Saccharomyces cerevisiae S288C: one gene and its partner. Changing the gene in region 2 together with the main gene of any one other region gives a genetic interaction. Each region holds a gene or a part of one and is shown on either strand. Other genes may lie near its edges.

Evidence for each region.
Region 1: of HUA1 (region 2) and THR1, extra expression of one rescues a mutant of the other (dosage rescue), as found in Saccharomyces cerevisiae (one study listed by BioGRID).

Annotation. Positions count from the first base shown.
Region 1 is NC_001140.6:157,134-161,011, reverse strand, and holds THR1 (homoserine kinase), read right to left. Parts: upstream 1,575-3,878; coding exon 501-1,574; downstream 1-500. Other genes in the region: VMA16 (H(+)-transporting V0 sector ATPase subunit c''), read right to left, coding at 1-168; MAS2 (mitochondrial-processing protease subunit alpha), read left to right, coding at 1,820-3,268; MYO1 (myosin 1), read right to left, coding at 3,560-3,878. UniProt on the Saccharomyces cerevisiae protein: Commits homoserine to the threonine biosynthesis pathway by catalyzing its O-phosphorylation.
Region 2 is NC_001139.9:1,025,416-1,028,831, forward strand, and holds HUA1 (Hua1p), read right to left. Parts: upstream 1,239-3,416; coding exon 642-1,238; downstream 1-641. Other genes in the region: FOL2 (GTP cyclohydrolase I), read right to left, coding at 1-320; chromatin segregase YTA7, read left to right, coding at 1,955-3,416. UniProt on the Saccharomyces cerevisiae protein: May be involved in assembly and disassembly of the actin cytoskeleton.

The DNA of each region.
Region 1 (3,878 bases), on a different chromosome or scaffold from region 2:
AGGGGATGTCCTTAACAAGAACTTCCCGAAATTAATGTCGGATCCATGTCCAGTGAAAAGCTTGTACAAACCGTACACTATTACTACTATTAGCACCAAGTAATATAGGAAGTGGGAGAAGGAAAACTTCCCCAAGGACATATCATCATCTTTAGATTCCTTGTTCATTATCTTACACGCTCTAGCTCCTGTATTTTATTCGCCTTCCGGTGAGAAAAAAAACACCTGTGGATATTACGTTGAATGATACTTGTGGCTAAATCAATCAACTGGCCTTGGCTATGAGTCTTTTGAATTGAGACTGAAAACAACTTCGATTCATTATCTGTATTGTTAATGGTTGTGAAATTTCGTTCTTTTCACTTATTTTTTATTTTCGAAATAGATAGAAAAGACGGGTAACGGAAGAAGACTCAGCATAATAACCGTTAACGGTCAATTACAGTATGTATATGGTCTACAATAGTATTTAACACAGTATACTAGGGGTAAAGGACATTTCATTGCTGTTCGACGCTAGCACCATCGTAGGCAGGCTCCAGTAGTTTCCAGGAGCACTTGATGCCGTTTTTGGCGAACCTGTTGATAATTTCTTGAGAGATTTCTTCGAAATTCTCAGTGGCCAAAGCCAAGATAGTTGGGCCTGCACCTGACAAGCAGATACCCAATAGGCCAGGGTATGTGGATGGGGTGACACATGATAAGATTTCCGTGAGACCTGGGATCAATGTCTTTCTATAAGGTTGGTGGACACGATCTTGCATAGCAGGGTAGATTAAGTCGGCATTAGGTGGGTCCATGGTCAAAGCTGTGGTCAAGACGGCCAATCTTTGTAGATTGAAAACCAAGTCCTGGGTTGGGTAGGCTTTTGGAAGAACGCCTCTGGAGTCGGCGGTGGACAACTCGAACTGTGGGATGATCGCAATACATTTAATGGCGGGGTTCCATTGGTATTTGACATGTCTACCGATATCGGTGGGAGGTAATGGGGGAACCAGACCGGTATCTTCACCACCAGAAGGTTCTGGAAGCACCTCAGCCAATGGAATCTCACGTCTTTCCACCTCTTGTGGGGTCAAGTCCCTTAGGAATGAACCGCAAAAGCCTCCCATCATAGCAGCGGTTATGTTGTCTGGATGACGTTCAATCATCAAACAGTAGTCCAACATACGTTGCTTAGAGAAACCCAATTGGGCCACTTCGTTACCTAAAATAACACCTGCCACAACTGCTGCACCAGAGGAACCCAATCCACGGCCAAGTGGGATTGGGTTGGAGACGTGAACTTTGGTTCCGGAGGGGAAGTTTCTAATATTGTTGCAACGCAACACATATAACGCAGTCCTGGTAATCAGGTTAGCATCAGAACGCAATGGGACCGTAGAATAGCCTTCACTTTCTTTAGTGTAAGACAGCTTGCAGTTGTTGGGATCGTCGTTTGTTTCCTGAGCTTGGCTGGAGTCGATGGTGACATCTAACTCCAAGAATAGAGAAAGACCGACACCAAGAACATCATAACCAGGGCCGATATTGGCGGAAGAAGCTGGAACTTTAATTTTGAAGGCACGAACCATTTTCTGTAGTCCGTATATCTACTTTATGCTACTGTTATAACCATTAGGCAGGTTAGAAGTACACTTGTTTTTATCACCATATCTTTTCGAGATGATGACTCTTGCACAAATTTTTCATCCGGCGTGAGGGCGTATCGAGAATGAACAATTCAGGTGAAAAAGCCTACACAGGTGGACTAGAAGAAAGGTGTTTCAGGGCAGGTGGTCAAATTAATGCAAAGCAGAGAGCTGATTAATAACAAAAGATGCTAAGGAACGGCGTTCAGAGGTTGTACTCTAACATCGCTAGAACCGATAATTTTAAGCTTTCGTCACTAGCGAATGGACTGAAAGTGGCGACATCAAATACTCCTGGACACTTTAGTGCCTTAGGCCTATACATCGACGCAGGATCACGGTTTGAAGGTAGGAATTTGAAGGGTTGTACACATATCTTGGATAGACTAGCATTCAAATCAACCGAACACGTCGAGGGCCGAGCAATGGCAGAGACGTTGGAGTTACTGGGTGGGAATTACCAGTGTACCTCGTCTAGAGAAAATTTGATGTATCAGGCTTCTGTGTTCAACCAGGATGTGGGTAAAATGCTTCAATTAATGTCAGAAACTGTGAGGTTCCCTAAGATTACTGAGCAAGAACTGCAAGAACAGAAGCTGTCGGCAGAGTATGAAATCGATGAAGTTTGGATGAAGCCAGAATTGGTATTACCTGAGCTGTTGCACACAGCAGCATACTCCGGAGAAACTTTGGGGTCCCCTTTAATCTGCCCTAGAGAGCTCATTCCTTCTATTTCTAAATACTACTTATTGGACTACAGAAATAAATTCTACACCCCAGAAAATACTGTTGCGGCATTTGTTGGTGTTCCTCACGAAAAGGCATTAGAGCTTACAGAAAAGTATCTCGGTGACTGGCAATCTACACACCCTCCGATCACCAAAAAAGTTGCCCAATATACGGGCGGGGAAAGTTGTATTCCACCAGCACCAGTGTTTGGGAATTTACCAGAATTATTCCACATCCAGATCGGATTTGAAGGTCTCCCTATAGATCATCCAGACATTTATGCTTTAGCAACATTACAAACTTTACTTGGAGGTGGTGGTTCTTTCAGTGCTGGTGGGCCAGGAAAGGGGATGTATTCTCGTTTGTATACCCACGTTTTGAACCAGTATTACTTTGTTGAAAATTGTGTTGCGTTCAACCATTCTTATTCGGATTCTGGTATTTTCGGTATTTCATTATCTTGTATACCGCAGGCAGCTCCTCAAGCGGTTGAGGTAATTGCACAGCAAATGTATAATACATTTGCTAATAAGGATTTGAGGTTAACTGAAGACGAAGTCTCCAGGGCCAAGAATCAGTTGAAGTCTTCACTACTAATGAACCTAGAGTCTAAACTGGTAGAATTGGAAGATATGGGCAGACAAGTTCTCATGCATGGTCGCAAAATCCCAGTCAACGAAATGATAAGTAAGATCGAAGATTTGAAGCCAGATGATATCTCACGTGTTGCCGAAATGATATTTACGGGAAATGTAAATAATGCTGGCAATGGTAAGGGTAGAGCTACTGTTGTAATGCAAGGAGACAGAGGATCCTTTGGAGATGTGGAAAATGTACTGAAGGCATATGGATTGGGTAACAGCTCCTCCTCCAAAAACGATAGTCCCAAGAAGAAGGGTTGGTTTTGAACAACTTTAGCAGTACTTTATTACTTTTATTTTGGAGATTTCAAGATAGGAAAAAGACTTTATTTCCGCTGCTTATCTATTGAATCGGTTATTTTCTTTATTTTATGTACCACCTTTAAGACTACTATCGAAGGATACGGGGTGAAAGAGTTCATGCCACTTAGTATATAACGCTCGTGTCGTCTTTTTCTGTTAATAATGCATATTCTCATTCTGTATATACAAAACATCTCATCATTATTTTTTTAAATAAAGGATATAAAGTCTTCCAAATTTTTAAAAAAAAGTTCGTTAACTGAAAATTTTACTCTGTGCATTGTTACTATCAATATTTTTCGAGCCTATCATGGTAGATTCATAACGGCTTTTCCAGAATTCAATTTCTTGGGCCATTTCCTGCACTTTGTCGCGGTAAGAAGAATTATCTCTAATGGATTTTTTCATCTCAAGCTCTTGTTGAGAAATGTACTTTTCTAAGTCAGAGATTTGAGCCTCATATTTCAAAGTAGCTTCCTCAAATTCGCTTCTATTTTTATTCGCTAGTTCTATTACATCTGTTTGTTGGGAGTTCTTAGTTTGTAACTCTTCCACTGCTCTCTCCAAACTCTTG
Region 2 (3,416 bases):
ACATCGTCCATAATGTTCGTTTGGTAACCTTTAGTGAAATAAAGCATGGCTTTAGCGTATCTTTGTGGAGTATCTAGTAGACCTTCTCTGTTGACATCTTCACCCAGTTCGGTCAAAATTGTCTTGATAGCGCCTGAAATGCGTTGAATTCGTTCCTTTTCCTCCTCTTCAGTTTCCTCTGCACGTTGTCTTGTACCCACACTTGGCCAAGAAAACCCATCTCTCTCGACAGGAGGGTTTAAAGTGTATGGAGAGGTAGGTCTAATGTTTAACGGGGTTTCATGTCTTTCTATCTCTTGCACTAATTGGATGTTATGCATTTTGGGATGATTGAAAGTATTGGTTCTAACAAAAAATGAGTCACGCACGCACAATCACGATTGAGGATGGAGTCGTATAATATTTTATGAACGGATGCTATATCGATCAGACGGTTGGCACCGTAAAAATAAATGAAAGAAGTTAAAGAAGGGCAAATCAGTCGGATTATGTGATAAGTATGTAATAGACATGTTTGAAAATTAGGAGCATTAAAATATGCTTTTCATCCTACAGTTGTTCGGTCTTTTTTCTTTTCGGTGAGCGACACAGCTTTTCTACTAAGGCCGTACCGGGTCATCCAAATCCTAAATTTTCATGCGCTAATAGCGTTGAGGCTGGGTGATAATTCTGCCTACACCATGACAAAGAGGACATATATCTTCGTCCAACAGGAATCTGGTGCGTCCGGACCCTCTGCATTCACCACATAGCACGCCACCCAGGCGAGGATCCCCTGGTTGAACGTACAAGGGCCTATTACCCTGCCATGCGTTGGTGTACACGGGCATTGTATAGTTTGTGTAATATGTCGGTGCAGAAACAACGTTATTTTGAGGTGCAAACCTCCTCCAACACGACTTGCAAGATCGTCCATTCTTCAACTTGTAACCCGTATTTCCACACTTGGAACAGTAAAACCTGGGAGGGTATGTCCAGGGCAAGCTAGGATTCTGTTGTGGCCTCGGTGGAGGCCGTGGTTGGGAACTTGTAGGCGTATAAGAGTGTGAGTGAGCATATGTTTGGGATGAGGACGTTGCTGGCATTGTCGAGGGCCTTTGGTGGGGTCTTGATTGGTGCCCTTGCGCCAAGTTAGCTGCTGGTCTTGGTGGTCGTGGCGGTTGAGATTGCAATCTCTCCTCTTCCTTGATTACGTCCTCGTAGCTCGGCAGTTCATCATCATGCGTGTCTTTAGACATAACAGTATGGTTTATACTCGTTTTATGGGTATTTTTTGGGACTGCTTAGTTCTTGACTTGAAGCCTCTTTATTCCCTTGATGGAAGTGTCACTATTAAAGATGGAGGCGGAGGCTATACCGTAGAAAATGATATGTTTGTATGTTCTGCTCTCTTCCCTCTATTAAAAGGGGGAAAGAGAAAAATAAATGGAAAAAAGCGATTAAGCCATAGGGAAAACACTCTTGTGGTGGCAAAGCATCAGATAGGCAGGCAGGAGGAAATGGCAGTGAAGTGTCAAACCAAGCATACTTTCACTGGATTGATTTGAAAGTTAATGCTGAGTTTGAGATGTTTTAAAGAGGAACTGTGGTGATCGGTTATTTCTATTCGCTTTTGTGTGCGTCTTTTCATCGTTTGCAGCTGAACTTGTTGAGGCATTAGCCGCTGAGGAATTTTTTTCTGCCTCTATAAACTTGTTTATTATCACTAAAAACGTACCGTCTGTTATTTTGTACGGCCATGTGTGCGAAAAAGGACAAAGTGGTAGCGAAAGAGCAATATTGGGACGAAAAGGAGCAGAAAAGGAACTGCGTAGGGTCTTAAATAAAGCAAAACGTCTGAAGGATCTTGCGTACTCCTTACTAACCCATTGTTGTTTTCGACAGTCATAAAAAGAAGTTACCACGGTCTATTTCTCTCTTCTCGCTATTTATTCACAATTGGTGCAGAAAGAACATGGCACGAAATTTAAGGAATAGACGCGGTAGCGACGTTGAAGATGCAAGCAACGCAAAGGTTGGGTATGAAACACAGATTAAAGACGAAAATGGCATAATCCATACAACAACTCGCTCTTTGAGAAAAATAAACTACGCAGAAATTGAGAAAGTGTTTGATTTTTTGGAAGATGACCAGGTCATGGACAAAGATGAGACGCCCGTTGATGTTACTAGTGATGAACATCATAACAACAACCAGAAAGGCGATGATGAAGACGATGATGTTGATCTTGTATCACCGCACGAAAACGCCAGAACGAACGAAGAGCTTACTAATGAAAGGAACTTGAGAAAAAGAAAAGCGCATGATCCAGAAGAAGATGACGAAAGTTTTCATGAGGAAGATGTCGACGATGATGAAGAGGAGGAAGAAGCAGACGAATTTGAAGATGAGTATTTGGATGAAGACTCGAAGGATAACAACCGTCGGCGCAGAGCGGCCGATAGGAAATTTGTAGTACCAGACCCTGATGACGATGAAGAATACGATGAGGATGACGAAGAAGGAGACAGAATAAGCCATTCGGCTTCTTCTAAACGTTTGAAAAGGGCAAATTCTCGAAGAACAAGATCGTCACGTCACCCAGAAACTCCACCACCGGTAAGAAGAGCTTTAAGAAGTAGGACAAGACATTCGCGTACTTCAAATGAAGAAAATGACGATGAGAATGATAATAGCAGGAATGAAGCGTTAACTTTAGCTGATGAAATTAGAGAGTTACAGGAAGATAGTCCTATCAGGGAAAAAAGATTTCTTCGCGAAAGAACTAAGCCGGTAAATTACAAATTACCACCACCACTAACTGCTAGCAACGCAGAAGAATTTATAGATAAGAATAACAATGCACTTTCTTTTCATAACCCATCACCTGCACGGCGTGGTCGCGGTGGTTGGAATGCTAGTCAAAATTCTGGTCCCACAAGAAGGCTTTTTCCCACTGGTGGACCTTTTGGTGGCAATGACGTAACTACAATATTTGGTAAGAATACTAATTTTTACAACCAAGTCCCATCTGCATTCAGTGATAATAACAACAATAAATTAATACTGGATTCAGACTCTTCCGATGATGAGATATTACCTCTTGGCGTGACACCGAAAACAAAGAAAGAGAACACGCAAAAAAAGAAGAAGAAAAAACCAGAAATTGCAGACCTCGATCCATTAGGCGTAGACATGAATGTAAATTTTGACGATATAGGTGGTTTAGACAACTACATTGACCAATTAAAGGAAATGGTGGCCTTACCACTATTATACCCAGAATTGTATCAAAATTTTAATATCACGCCCCCAAGGGGTGTTCTTTTCCATGGTCCTCCTGGTACGGGTAAAACACTTATGGCAAGAGCGTTAGCAGCAAGTTGTTCTTCTGATGAAAGGAAGATCACATTTTTTATGCGTAAAGGTGCAGATA